3 linked regions of the Ovis aries genome follow. The protein of the gene in region 3 interacts with the protein of the main gene of each other region in a pairwise test. Links are inferred from orthologs where the notes say so. Each region holds a gene or a part of one and is shown on either strand. Other genes may lie near its edges.

Region 1 (5,121 bases), on a different chromosome or scaffold from region 3:
TGATGATGTCCGCTAGGACAGTGGACAAAATGTTAGACACAGCACCAGGCATGACTTCTTTACTTGTCATTGTTTAGCAGCAGAGTTTTTGACAGGTACTAGAGCGCCAAGTTTAGAATGGCTGTTTACTGTTATCATTCTCTGATTAGTGCACATCTAGATTTGAGGAGTCATGCTTTTTGCCTTTGTATCTTTAAGGTTTCTCATACATATACAGGCTTATTCATTCATTAGTGTTTAGATTTTTGTCTTTGAGAAGTTCCTGAAAAACTTCTTGGACTTGTGGAATATTATGCTAAATATTTTTGAAGAGGCTAGATGTCTTAATGTCTGAAAATTTTCAAATTTAAACATATGTATTATGTGCCCTCCACATGCCAGGCACTGTGAAAAGGGCTTTTGAGGTGTAACAAAAATCAGAATGTTTCTTCAAGAAATTTCTTCAAGACTTAGATTTTTTAAAAAATTTTCTTCAGTGTTTAAGGAGAGTAAATGATTTACCTAGTATTACTGAGATGTTAGTTGTATTTCACTGATCTAAGGGAGCTTTACACTTTGATAGTTGGAAAATATCAGAGTAAAAATACAACTTGGGTATTTACATTTCTAAAATGAGATTTTTTTTCCCATACAGTGAAAGGTAGCTCAAAGCCAGCTTTCATTTATAGGTAATTATTTCTTCAAAATTAACAATTTGACCTAAATACTTCAAGGGTATCTTTAGTCACCCAGTTGCCACCCTTTGAAAACTTGCTTTGTGATTTGGATATAGTGTCGGATTGTTAAACTGTAAGCCATATCATTTGATGTCATGTATTTCTTTTGTATTATTCTTTTTTACATTTCCCCCCATTTATCCTCTTGTTTTGTTTCTCTAGAATCTTGTTTTCATTTTTTAAAATATGCAAGCTGTAATCTAAACAAGTGTTTCTGAAATGCCATTATTATATGTATTCTTAATATTATCTTTATATGTTGGAACTTGTTGATCCCACAGCTTGTTCATTTATATCTCCCTCTCTACTTTCCTAGAGAGACAATTAAGGTGTGAAAGTTTGCTTCTATAGTTTTTCGCCTATGTTTATACTTCATGGTGTTATAGATGTTCTTTATTTAGCTATATTCTGTTCATTTTTAAGGTCTTTTATAGTTCTCCCTCTCAAAGGGGAGGTTGAGGGTCTTGAATCATTCAAGTATAAAATTGGGTGTGTGCATCTGTGTCTGTGTATTCACTCAGCTGTTACTAAACATTGTGCTGTATGCTAGAGTTTGGACATATTAAACAATGTCATTACCCTACCAGCTTAGAAAACACAGCAAACTAATCTACTCTGTAAACTTGATAAAAACTGCTTCTAATATACCATTATTCTCAGTGATGGGAAAAAGTTGGAAGGCAGTCTGTTGACATGTTTAACTTTGTTATTTACTGTTTAAATGAAGCAAGTTAATGTGACTTAAAAAAAAAATTTTTTTTATTGAAGGATAATTGCTTTACAGAATTGTGTTTTCTGTCAAACCTCAACATGAATCAGCCATAGGTATACATATAACCCCTCCCTTTTGAACCTGTCTCCTGCCCCATTCCACCCCTCTGGATTGATACAGAGCCCCAGTTTGAGTTTCCTGAGCCATAGAGCAAATTCCCGTTGGTTGTCTATTTTACATATGGTTAATATGGGTTTGAAATGAAATTTTCACTTAATTGACTCATTAGAAAGTTAATTATTGAGCTTTTTTTTTTAAAGAATAACACTCTTTAATTGTTTATGCGTAGGTAAAGCTGATCTAAGTAGAAGTTAGTTTTTGAGAAGATAGTATTCTAAATTTGTTTCTACTTGTGTAAGAGAATTTACTAACAGTAGGGTTTTACAGCTATTTATATTTACCCTATGTTACAGTAAATGTGTATAATGTTACAATAAATCAAAATAGTTTTATAGCAGTTGATATCTTAATCAATAGACGTTTTAATTTCCGATTGAATAAATTGATGAAATTTATATTTACTTCTTTTTCTTTTCAGTGAGTATTACTTCAGTATAGAAAATTTGGAACGGGATTTCTTTCTTAGGAGAAAGATGGACGAGCAAGGTTTCTTGCCTATTTCCCTGATTGCTGGTTTCCACCGTGTTCAGGCTCTCACTACAAACCTTAATCTCATTTTGGAGGTAATTATTCATATATAGAACAGTCTGTACTTTCAGTTACGCTCTGAATCTAAAGCTGCTATAAAAAATAAATCTATTAAGTAATTTTAAGAAAAAAGCAAAAACATTCTTCCCTGGTAACAGAGCTGGTAAAGAATTGGCCTGCAATGCTGGAGACCCCGGTTCAATTCCTGGATTTGGAACATCCCTTGGAGAAGCGGTAGGCTACCCACTCCAGTATTCTTGGGCTTCTCTGGTGGCTCAGATGGTAAACAATCCACCTGGAATGCGGGAGACCTAGGTTGGATCCCTGGATTGAAAAGATCCCCTGGAGGAGGGCATGGCAACCCACTCCAGTATTCTTGCTTGGAGAATCCCCATGGACAGAGGAGCTATAGCCTATAGGATCGCAGAGGTGGACACAACTGAGTGACTAAGCACAGCGCAGTAACCTAAGACTCTTACTGTATCTCAAGGCTCTTTTGCCATTTTATAAAATCCAAATAAATGTCTAACCTTGGAAACCCCTCAAAGGATTACTGATGTTTCTACCTGTTTTTAATTGGATCCTTCTTGGTTGGGTTGAACCCCAAAACAAACTTAAACATTCTTGGGTATTCTTGGTCCTTTAGTATTTAGGTTGCTATAAAAGAGATTGTATTCTCATCATTAAAATTTTGAGAAATTTTCCTGTATACCAAGGGCTAGTTTAAAATAGTTATTCCAGATGTGTTCTTAAAGCTTTTATTAAATCTCTTGTCTGTTTTGTTGTAGAAATGGTTTCAGCATTTTTGGTTTTCCGTTCCCTACATATATACATAATATTTGCCCTTTTTCCTATATAGTTTTCTGAATTTTGGCAGTCTTACACACTTGTGCCAACCTGTGTAGCCAATCTCTTTCCTCATACATAGTCCCTTGGGACACTGATCTGATTTTGTTTTTTATCCCTCTAGTTTTGCCTTTTCTAGACCATCATGTAAATAAATTATACATCACTAGTTTGTAGCCCTTTGTTTCTGACTTCTTTGACTTAGCATAGTGCTTTTGAGATTCATTCTTGTTGTTTCATGTATCAGTTTGTTCTTATTGTTGACTGGTATTTCATAGTAAGGATGCACTGCATACAGTTCACTTGTTGATAGACATATAGATTGTTTCTGGTTTTTGAAGATTATGAATAAAGCATAGGTCTAAATATTGAGGATTGTGATTGCTGGAATCTGTGGTAAGTGTATGTTTAACTATAGGAAGTTGCCAACCTATTGTCCAAAATGGATTTAACCATTTTGCATGCTGCCATTTTGTATGAGAATTACATTTGCTTCTCATCAGCACATGGTATTCTCGGTTTTTTGAATAATGGTCGAAGAGTCAGACGTGACTGAGTGTACTCAGATCTCTAAGCAAGCTCTAGCTCCGCTATCATTTTCAATGAAGGTACCGATTTCCTCTGGTCTCCCTACCTCTAAGAATCTGGTTGTAATTCATTGCATCCTTTTTTGGTCTGTTCATATTCCCATTAAGTTCTTAATTTTTATATCACTGATTGTCTACTTCTATTATAAAACTTAGAGCAGTGGGGAAGGGATATTTTTAAAAGAACTTTTGCATTACTATACTGGTTAGCATTATTAATATGTAGTGGCTGATTTATAGTAAGAAATAAAACTGTTGTGAAACAGAAACATATAAGCATAGTGATTTAGAACAGCATAGGTCTGTATTCATTTAACATTCATTATGTACCTACCACTTACTACAGTAGGAAAGATGTCTTTTTTTTTTTTCCTTTAGGAAGGTAGGGCTTCATTAGGCTTTGCAGTGTAAACATACTGATTTAAAGCATGGACTTGAGGACCTGCATACATATCCTCATAGCTCCGGACTTCAAGCACTTCAGGCAGTGTTCTGAGGTTTCTGTAAAGTGGACTTCATGGGGTTGTTATGGGTATGAAATCTGTAATGACAGTATCTGGCATACACCTTAAGCTCTAAATAAAAATTCACTGTTACTTATATACCCTTCTATTTATTACTCCTTTTAATCAGCTTTTTCAAATATGTATTTGAATATGCTCAAGTGTTAACTTTCTTGAAAAGCTATCAAAGGAAGCAAAATACACTTTAGCTATTTCCCATCTCTACCTTGGTTGAGAATGTCTACATAGCCACACTTACTGAATCTGTTTCCTCCTTTCCCATTCATTTTCACCATACTGAATTCTTTTTCTTTCTCTCTCTCTCTCTTTTTTTTTTACTTATTTACATATGTATATTGTATTTTGATTGCTCTTGTAGCATTGTCACTTAACAGTTATAATACAATATTGTCTATAGTCATTGTACTGTGCATTATATTGGTCACTTATTTACTACTACTTATAAGTAAGTAGTAGTAAACAACATCGGTCTTATCCCCTCATCCATTTCCTGGTAAGCATTTTCTTCTTTTTTTTTAAAAAACAGGTTTCATTTTTTTAGATTCTACATATAAGTTATATCATACAATACTTGTGTTTGTCTTTTTCTGCCTTTTTTTATCTCACTTACTATAATGTGTTTAAAATTAATCCATGTTGTCAGAAACAGCAGGATATCCTCCTTTCTCATGATTGAGTAGTAGTCTATTGTGTATATATACCAAATGGTTTTTATCCATTCATTTTTTAGAGGTCATTTAGGTTGTCTCCATATCATGGCTACTGTGAATAATGCTGAATACATTTGGGAGTGCATGTATCTCTTTGAATATTTTTCATTTTCTTTGGATATATACCTAGAAGTGAGTGGAATTGGTGGATCATGTGATTCATCCAGCTTATTGCATTCTTGATAGTTGCTCCAAAACTGAGCTATTTGTGTCTTCGTTTTTTGTTAGATTTAATTGATTCTGGCTCTGCATTTAGTCAGTTGTATTCAAGTTATTTAACATCTTACATGCTAAAGTTTTCTCATTGTTAAAATACAA
Region 2 (5,221 bases), on a different chromosome or scaffold from region 3:
ATTTTCATCGTCTGTGATGCCCCCGCCACGTGTTCCCCTCTGGTCAGGTTCTACCTGTGTCATCCTTATTCAGAAGGCACTCTTTTAAGTAGAACACTTCTGTATCATAATAGCTTTTTTGCTAAATAGCTAGCTCTGCTCATCTCTCTCAGTTATGCCAGAGCTCCATAATGGCAGATATATATTCTACCTGATACAGGCCTGTACTTCTTGACCATCTCCGAGAAACTAGGGCTGATAAGAAGAGACTTCGGAAAGCCTTGAGAGAATTTGAGGAACAGTTTTTTAAACAAACAGGAAGGTAAGTGTGGGCAGAGATATTTTTTAAGCTAATGACTCCTAGAGAACTAAGAGTCAGGAGTAAGCTCAGATTTTTTGTTTGTTTGTTTTTTGCAGTAACGGTGACTTTATACAAGACATAATTTCCAGTGACTTACAACTAGTGTTTGTCTAATGCAACATTTGGGTAGTATCATTATTGGGTATGTTTTATAGAAGGATGTAGCTATCAAGTATAAGACATGAATCTTTAAAAAAAACAAAAGATGAACTCCCTAAATTCCCTAACTTTGCATAATAAATCCCATTATAACTATTGAATTTATCTAAACCTTAAATAAATCTATCTGATCTTTCAGCCCATGTTAGTTCTCTGTTCTAAGTTGACTGTTATATAAGTCCAAGTGACCTACCTTTCTGCTGATGGTAACTATCTAATGAGAAATGTTATGTGGTTGTTAAATTCAGAATATAAAACAATTTGTTTTCTTTTTTCCTTTACAAAATTTCTATACAACTTTTACATTTTTTAACCTATCCAAACACAGGCAATTTAAAGAGTTTGAGAACCTTCTGGTGTGTTATTAGTCCTGCCAAATGGGTCTGCAGTGGTACTTGGCATGCCTCTGACATCCAGGGAAGTTAGTCATGTTCTATGTATAGTATTTTAAATGCACCAGTGAGTGGGAAACCCACTTCAGATATGCTTACTACTTGGTTGAGGTTATCTGCCCTCTTGTGGTAATACACTTAAACTAAAGGCAGAAGCGGTGCCATATTACAAGTAAAATCAAATAGTCGAATGGCTACGAAATACAGATCTTGTTTTTCTAAAACATTTCATTGGGAAGGGTTACCTGTCCATAGGTAAAATAACCATGCAAATAGATAATTAAAAAATTTAATGTTCTATGAATGTTCTTGGTAAGAGTCATCATGCAAGAAGCATAGTTATCTAGGTATGACCTTAACAATTATGAGCCAGGACCTGTGCTAAATGCTTATGTATGTTTTATATAATGAGAAAAGTGGTTAAGGAAATACTTAGTACAATGCATTCTTGTTTATTAGATAAAGAGGAGTGTGCCGGACCAGAGATAATTGCATCATGAACTATTAGTGTTTCCCTATAAATTAGACTATTTCTTCACTTAGGTATGTTTACACAAATTAAGGTGGCATTTAGATACCCAGTTGGGATAAGTTTGGCCCAGAATACAGAATGGAGTCAAAGGAATTATGTTAGTCTAAAAGGAACTCTGGCTGTAGATTTGTATACTGTTCTGAGTTCTGAACTAGAGATTTCAGGGAAGACTCTTTATAGATTCCCAAAGAATATCGTTATCTACTGGTGTTGTTAACACTATATATACTGCCCTGAAATTTCTAGTTCAGAACTCAGAACAGTATTCAAATCTATGTGTACTGTTAGCTGTTCTTTTATTGGTAAGAAATATAACTTTATCAGTACTGGTAAAATAGAAGGGGTATAGGCTGTTTGCTTTTTACCCATTTTCAGCTATACTTATGTTACAGAGTTTATGTTATCTGTGTTTATATTCAATAGCAGTGGTGGTGACTTCATCTGGGTTTTCCAGTCCTTGTATTTCAAAGTCATGGGTGGAAATATTTTAAAAGCAATTGGCCATCTTTATTAACTAAGGAGATCCTGAACTAACTCTTGTCCTTTAGAAAACATATCCTGGCAATGTAAATTTCTGGGAAGGCAGATGATTTTAACTCCAGATGTTACCCAATTATCCTTCAAAGTAAATGTCAAGAACATCTGGCAGTTAGGAGGCATATGTATCAAACTGGGCATGATCCGTAGTCTAGTCTTAGTAGGATCAGTGTGCAAAGAACCACTACAATTTAGACTCAGATTTCTGAAAGGAACTTCTCTGTGACTCTTCTATACATTAACAGAGATAGGACTATAATTACAAGAAAGTTTAGAAATAATTCATGTTTGTAAGGTAGCTACTGAACTTTTCCCTCCTATTACCATAGATTTATAAGTTATTTCTGTTAATGTAATTTTCGTAGTATTTTTAGGTTGATATTTTAAACAACTATCACTATAAGGGCTGAATATTCTGCACAGGCTTGGATGATGGAAGAAAGACTAGGTAAAAAAATATCTTGAGGGTTCTGGTTTTTATTTCCCGCAGACCTTTCCTCTTCCCCAGTGTTATATGTCTATGCACTGGACAATGTTTTGCAAAACACTTATAATATTTAACTTCTCAGAGCACTATTACATTGAAACCTAGTAACACATGGAAGAGGGAGAGGAAAAAAGACTTGATGAAAAAATCTAGCGGAAATTGTTACCCTGTACTTTTCTCACAAGAGTTAAAAAAGGATTTTTAATGACTTGGTTCATTAATGATCTAATGCATTTATATATATATATATTTTTTGCAGAAGTCCACAAAAGGAAGATCGGATACCAATGGCAGATGAGTACTATGAATACAAGCATATAAAAGCCAAACTGAGACTATTAGAGGTCCTCATCAGCAAGCAAGATGTGGCCAAAACTATTTGAGGTTCAGGAAATGTTTGTGATCACTTTCACCTGTGATAAGGCAAGTTTATTTTCCTCTGCCGTTCTTGCTAAGTAGTATGACAACTGAAAACTGAAGCACTTTAGTGGGAGTATTAGCTGTTGTTAAGAATGGATGGCAAGTGTAATTATACATGAATAGAAGGGATTAAAATGGGAGAAAATACAGTAAGTAACATATAATTGGAAAATAAAATTCAGCCTTCTCCATGCCAAGGAGAAAATGCAGTCAGTATAATTACTTCAGAAAACATGTATTGTATCAAACCTAAGTAATAAAAAGTGTCCACCTGTTAAATGGACCACTGGTTAGAGAAAGTCTACTTAATGTCCAAAGACTGCTTATACTGACATACGGAAAGAGCATGATTTTTAACCCAATAAGAACAACAAAAGAAACTCATTTTACATAGAAAGGGATACAGTCATTAAGAATGTAATTTATTTGAAACTTCTAATAGATTTTTAAGTGATAAAAAATCTACTACCTTGTCCCTTAAGTCTGCTAGGCTTTCAGCACCCTAAAATATACTAGAATGTGTCACTGCTAATTTTTTATTTCTATATAAAAATAGCACATTATTTTATCTGTTCCTTAAAATTTTACATTTCTGATTACCAAAGTTCATTCTGATAGCATGTACTTTGTGAATTATCTTTGTTTATAATTGACAGATGTTTATATTAAAATAAAATATTGTATTAAAATTTGAAAATAGGTATTTTGGATAGATGTGTCTGTAGCATATAATCTAATGTGATCATAGTTATAATAGCTAATCTTTTTGTTTACTATAAGATATATAAACTATTTTTCCATTGGGAATATGTGTTTTTCTTAATGTTCCAAGGTCTATACTTTGTAAAGTCAAAAAAATTTCCCATGAACTATAGTTGTTACTCATTCTGTATAAAATGAAAGGTTTAGTACCTGTTTGCTGTAACACCTTGGAAAAGAAGCCAGGATACTTTATTTGCATCATTAACTTCAGTGTATATTGTTTTGTTATTTTGTATTAAACCACGTTTATTATTTTGCTTTTGTAAAAATAAGTAAAAGGTCCACATTTTCTCTCTCATACCAGCCACGTTTGTAGTTCTCTTTTCTGTAATGTTTAAGCACAATGGTGAACAAATTCACATTTTCATATAGTTTGGTTGGGATTGACTATTTCTGAAGCAGATGGTTTCAGAGGCTTACTGTTTTCTCTATAGTTACCTATATTTACCTGATATTTTATAACCTTTATGAATCAGAATAATGTCCTTCACAAATTTGTTTAATTAAAGTTATGTACTTGTAACAGGACAGATACACAACTATTTGAGGTTTACAAACTACATCTTTGATAAGGGAAATGGTTTCGTGACATGTATACAATTGCTATTAAGATGTAACTCTATATATTCTATAAGATTGTAAATATTTTATACAACAATACAAATAAAATATTTTTCTATTATATTTATTATGTTGAAACACAGTAGTTGTTTCCTGTTAGCTAATATAAATAACATAAATAACACTGTCAAACAACAAGTTGGAAGTGCTGACAATTCTAGGCTTCAAGATTTAACTCATGCTGCAATTACACTTTTTCATGCGGTTTGGAGTTATCCCAATATTTGTTCAGTAGATTAAAATGAGAGCATATTTAAACACCATTTATAAGCCATTATTTTGTATTTTACTAAAGCAGTTTATATAATAGTTTGGTTATGTTTGGCATAGAGGAAAAATAAAAACATTGCAGCATCTAGGCAAGAGGGTGTCAGAAACAACTCAGGACAGTTCATCTCTCAAAGTCGTGGGAAGGGTAGGGACTGGGAAACACTACAACAGCTCGGAAATCTGAAAAGTGATGGTTCGCTTTCGGTGACAGTGGCATGGGCATGCTTCAGTGGAAAACATCTGGGTGATGAAAATGGACAACAGAGGATCAGGGCTCCTACGGGAAGAAAGGGGGCCTCAGAATAAGAAAAGTGGGCATTAACGTCCAACACTAATATTACAGGTTTTGCAGCTGGGATCTTTCTTTGCATTTGCAGTAGATAAGCTCATGAGCTGATGACCAGTGATTTCTGCCACGGTGCCTAGAGAAAGATCCACGGGGTCAGTGTAAATGACTTCTAAAATGACATCCTGGGCATGGTGGTAAACCAGCATCCCATCTTCTTCTCTGCACGTCAGAAATTTATTATCCTGGGAATTTAGTTGAGGAAGGCGCTGCTTACAAAATTCATCTCCTGGTGATCCCACAGGAGCAATGACCAGAATCACATAATGATAAGCAGTGTACATACAGTAGAAGTCCCCAAAGTATAAGTTAGTATTGGGGTTAAAAAGTTTTTCTGCTGCAATCTCAAACCTGT
Region 3 (5,221 bases):
GGGTAAAAGAATATAGACAGGTCTGTTAAGCTCTTGCTATCCTCTCAGATATGAGGTGTTGAGGGTCAGAGCCAAATTGCAAAGTGTCTTTAATTTTATATCATTGGATATAAAATTTCACGTAATGATTTGAAGATTACAGTAAGGTATTAGGCTATGTTTTATAGGGTGGTTTACTGTCTTTTTTTAACTTGACTATACTTATAAATACAAAATACTGTCACATTTTATTATTTCATTTGATCCTCATGAAAATTTTCTGCAATTGAGAGAATAGAAGTTATTTTTCCAGGCTGTTTAAGAAAGTAACCAAGATTTGGAGCAGCTTAACAAGTTAATTCCTTGAACAAATGTCTGAGTGCCTACTATATGCCAGTCACTGTTCTAGTCAGGGTTATATAGTTTGCTAACGCTGGAGCCAGAGTCAGAATTCTTGATACAGGATGTTGATGGAAACGTAGCCGCACTGCATTTATTTACCGGTGCGCTTCAGAAGGCCACTGGCACAAAGCCCAAGATGCAAGTCTTGGGAAATATAAATGCTGGGTGGGGCATACAGAAAAACATACGCCTTTTGGGTATGACCTATAAAGGAAAGGTTTTTATGTTTGACAAGTAGCACATCTCATACATTTTTTTTATAGAGCAGGATAATGTATATATATTTTAAATACTTTTAACTACGGATTAAAGGTTTAGGCTTCTTAATTATATAGCCCACGGAGGGCAAGGTATGTGTCAGCAACCATGATAAAACACATTTTATGAAGCAATTTTAAATTTCATAAGTGTATAGCTTGATTTCTTTGTATTCTTAAAAGAATTTGCAAGCAAATACATAGATACTTTATATCTCAGTCATAGAGACATCGGAGGTGTTCTATTAGAAGCTCAAAGAGTTCAGACAAAGCACTCAAGATAATAATAAAAAAAAAACCCACTAACACCACCAAATCTTATTTTGAAACAGAGATCCTAAATTGAGGTTTACAGTAGTCATTTCTGACATGTAAAAGCTGGTTTTCAAAGTTGTCTGCCTAGTGTTTTTCTCACAGACATTATTTTTACTTTAGACTGGATGTAAGAAACTTTGTTCTTTGATAAGTATGCCTTCAATACATTTAAGTTACAGAGTCCAAATCTTTCTCAACAAAATGTTTAGGGTCTACTTGACTTGATTATATTAGCATAAAAACACTAGCTATTTGCATATACTCCTACACACACTTAACACACACATATCCAGTTTCCAATTTTTTAATTTTAAAACTGTATATTTTAAATTATCATTACAGGGAGATTAACACTGACTAGAGAAAGCAGGGCACGATAAGTGTGTTTCCTCCATATCAAGTCCTAAAACTAGAAGCAAATGTCACACGTTTGGAGGTTTGTACACAGTGCTGTAAATATAGTTTCCAAGGTCCCTGTCCACAGGGCTTTCCTGTTTTGCCAGGACGAAGAACCCTGCTCTCCACACGCTGGTGTGGTCAGACTCACCAACTGACTACCGAAAAGGCACATTTCTTTGTCAAATTTATTTGGCCCTCTGTCCTTGAATCATAGTTACTGGTTTTATGGTCCAGGGCAAATAGTCTTGAACTATTTGCAGAGCCAAGACATCTGCATCGGATGCATCATAAATCCAGCAATCTAATCCCCCACTCCCCGACCACGCCGTTTCTTTTTGAATGGCGATGAGCTGTAAGTCAAGGCCATGAAAAGCGGATCTTCATTCCGACTAAGTGTGGGTGACACCTCAAAGGTGTTTCTTCTTCTACCACTGGATGGGAAACCTTGGGACGTCTCCTCGCACAGGCCACCTCTAAGAAGCAATGGCGGTGACACTGTCAGATGAGACACTGAACCCATGCTGTCAATGGCCGACCCCTAAATGCACATCCCCCAGCCTCGCGCTCCAGCCGGAAAGCCCAGAAACCGCAGGGAGCTTAATCCATTCCAGCAACAGTGCAAGTTCTTGGAAGCGCAGATTCCCGCCTCTTCCAGGCCGCGCGCAGAAATCAAACTAGACGCAGGCTCCCTGGGGGCCTTGCCGCGCGCGCTCCGCTCCCTCCGCCGGCCTAGCCTCGGCCGCCGCCCGCCCAGCCGTGGAGCTGGGCGGGGCCGCCTCGAGGCAGCGGGGCAAGGCGGGCCGACCAGGAAAAGACGCGGGAGGCACGCTCTGCGCAGGCGCGCGGCGCCCCGCCTCCTCAGCGTCGGCTCTTGGGCGGGCGGCGCGGGCCCTCCCACTCTCCCCCGCGCCGCCGCACCGCCCCGGCCCTCGCTTCACCCCGACGCCCGGGCGTGCGCGTCCTCCCGCCGGCCTGCAGGCCCGGGGCCTCTGCCTGCCAGTCCGCCGCTGCTCCTCGCGGCCCCGGCTCGCGTTCACGCTGTCGCCCGGGCCGGCGCGGCCGCGGGCAACCGCTCCCCCTCACACACCTACCCCGCCCCCTCCCCGCCTTTTCCGCCCTCTGGTCCCCCTCCCTCGGCCCGCCGCCGCTGCTCCAGATGAGGTGATGGCAACGGCCAACTTCGGCAAGATCCAGATCGGGATTTACGTGGAGATCAAGCGGAGCGATGGTGAGCCTCGCCGCCGCCCCTGCCGTGCGGCCCCGCTGTCGGCTGTGCGCGGCGGAGACGCGGGCGCCGGCCGCCTCATTGATTGCTCCGCCGGGCTGTGGGGGCGGGAAGGCGGCGGCCGCGGCGCTTTTGTGTGTGGCGTGTGTGCGAGTGAGGCCAGCTTGGGGTCCGCCCCGGGTGCCGCTGCAGTGCCGGACCGGGGAGGAGCCCTGCGGGAGGCTGGGCCGGGGGGAGGCCTACGGGGAAGGGCCCGGGGGTCTTCGGGGGTGTGCGTCGGAGGGTCCCCTGTCGGGGGGCCCCCCGCTCCTCCCCCGCGATCTCCATCCTCCCCGGGGACCGCCGCCCGGGGACCGCAGGCTCCGATAGGATTGACCCAGCCTCGCGGCTCACCCCGGCCTTTTCATTTCCCGGCCTCATCTGAGGGGATGAGGGGTGAGGAGATCGTGAAGACCAGAGATTTCAGCATTTAGGGAACCGACTACTGGTCCGAGGCCAAGGTGGGAGAGAAAGGCCAACCCCATTGGTTTAAACTGTTCGGTTGTCAGGTTTCTTCGTCTTTCATTTCTCGAGCATGTCTCTTTCTTTTTTGCCAGTCCCTTCCTTGGAAGAAGGATGGGGAGCCTGTGGTGCTCAGCCATGAATAAGGGTGGGGGAGCGAAGGGAAGAAGTATTCGATAAGCTTCTCAAAGGTGATGAGACTAAAAGGGAGGATGATCCTTGTCTGTGCGAGGCACTCCTGAGAGGGTGGGGGTGGACGACCGGATGTTGATAGTCTCACACCCTCCTGAGAGGTAACCGAGAGAAAAGTGTCAGACGCGGTGGAGGCACATGCCTAATTAAAATTATAAAGAGAGAAAAAGCCCTAGGCTTGTGTCTCTTTCTATAGGTTTCTCTTGGGGTAAATGTTTTACGCCCCTAACCAGCCAGGTTTGGAAATAATTTATATTGTAAAGGAGAAAACGCATGGAGGCGGGTAAAATTATGTTTCAGTCCAAACATTGAGCGAAGTAGAGGTGTGTAATACCGAGAGGCGTGCGGTGTATCTTATCCTGTGCCTTTAGGTTATGGCTTATTATCGTTTAGCCTAGTCAATGGTAACTATCGCTGTCTGATCTACAGCCTCTACCGAGAGGCTTCTACCAGGTTTGACCAAGTTATGTGAAGCTTAGATTGACTGTCTTGTTTATCTGTGATAACATATATTAGAAGACCCTGTCCAGCTAATGATTTTTTTCCCTTTCCTTATATCTGACATAATTTGTGTCAACATTATTACGCAGTATGTGAAAAGATAAATTATAACACATAGACCTTTAGAAGTTACCCATAACACTGACGGGAAAGAGATGTCTCTCTCACTTTGGTTGGGGTTTCTTCGTGTTTTCTCTTCAAATTGCTTTCCTTAAGCTGTGCTGTTACGGTAATTTCATTTTTAGGTAAATGCAGGTTCACTGTATACTAGTAAAAGTAGGGTTTATATATATTGTTTAAAATTTGGGGGAGAAGCAATAAAATGTGTGAGTTCTTTACATTCTAAGACTTTTAACTGTGATTGTAGGTTTAACTGTAGAAGTTATCAGAAAAAGTATCATGATACTTGAAAGGTTTGGTTAATTTTATGTTTTCTGGGCTAACATCTTTTTAAATGTGTCAGACTGGAAACAGTTTTGGTTTGGGGGGGATTCTAGGATATTCTTTACTTAGTACTATAATTAGTACTCTTTCTGCCTTCATCTTCTGCCTATACCAGAAACCCAGACATCTAAGAGCTTTGTGTTCTTACATAAGTGCTAGTAACCTAAAATCACATTTCAAAGCAGTTTGCCCTTGAGAAATAATTGAAATCATTACGGTGTATCTCATCTTAACTTACAGTCATGTATGTATTTATGTTCCTCAGGTGCATAGTAGAGTTGAAGGTAACAGATAAGCAGAGAACTTAAGGGAATGATCATTTGCATTGGGTAGTGCTGTTTCACAGTAGAAATTGATGTCTGGGAGACTCACCTAAAGCCTTCCCTTTTTCACTTTAAAGAAGCTGTTTTGTTTCCTCCCATTTCTATGGTGTATCTGTTTGGATAAGACATTAGTGATCATTGTAACAGAAATAAACTTTGCAGTTGAATGAGCACTAATGTAATGCCTGAGACAGTGGAAACCACATGAGTGAAGAAGGGCTGTTCTAGACTGCTGTTCACTGGTGATTTGATGTTTCTCTGCATGCTTGCTAAGTGGTGATCCTTGTCCTTGTTTCTGAGCATGCTTCTCCCATCTGTGATGCTTATATATTAAAAAAAAATATTTCCAGGTAATTAATGTGGACTTGTTAGTATCTTTCAACATCCTGCTCAAAACTAACTCCCAGTATGTTTTCATTGATTACTAAAACTGGATGGCCAGTCAGTCACTGAATTCCTAAGTCATTAGGAGACTCATGAGACAGCATATTTCCTCAAGTATTAATGTTTGGGTACATTTTTCTTAATATTATGTTTTCAGACTGCACCAGAGAAGGGGTGGTTTGGAGAATGCTATTGATGGATGGCAGACTACCCACTCCCACTTCAGCCACAGCCTGGGCATTACAGGATTTTAAATTCCCAGAATTCATTTGCTCCTTGATGAGTTCCTTGCATATAGG

Evidence for each region.
Region 1: the proteins of KIF2A (region 3) and LARP1B interact in binary tests that used the Homo sapiens proteins (3 or more experiments, as listed by UniProt). The two-hybrid records come from large-scale screens. The link is inferred for Ovis aries from reciprocal best matches to the Homo sapiens genes KIF2A and LARP1B.
Region 2: the proteins of KIF2A (region 3) and FAM13C interact in binary tests that used the Homo sapiens proteins (3 or more experiments, as listed by UniProt). The two-hybrid records come from large-scale screens. The link is inferred for Ovis aries from reciprocal best matches to the Homo sapiens genes KIF2A and FAM13C.

The regions. Positions count from the first base shown.
Region 1 is NC_056070.1:29,871,078-29,876,198, reverse strand, and holds part of LARP1B (la-related protein 1B), read left to right. Parts: intron 1-2,026; coding exon 2,027-2,171; intron 2,172-5,121.
Region 2 is NC_056078.1:14,231,447-14,236,667, reverse strand, and holds the end of FAM13C (protein FAM13C), read left to right. Parts: intron 1-199; coding exon 200-301; intron 302-2,706; coding exon 2,707-2,830; 3' UTR 2,831-4,313; downstream 4,314-5,221. Other genes in the region: PHYHIPL (phytanoyl-CoA hydroxylase-interacting protein-like), read right to left, coding at 4,839-5,221.
Region 3 is NC_056069.1:17,226,264-17,231,484, reverse strand, and holds the start of KIF2A (kinesin-like protein KIF2A), read left to right. Parts: upstream 1-2,248; 5' UTR 2,249-2,516; coding exon 2,517-2,580; intron 2,581-5,221. UniProt on the Homo sapiens protein: Plus end-directed microtubule-dependent motor required for normal brain development. May regulate microtubule dynamics during axonal growth. Required for normal progression through mitosis. Required for normal congress of chromosomes at the metaphase plate.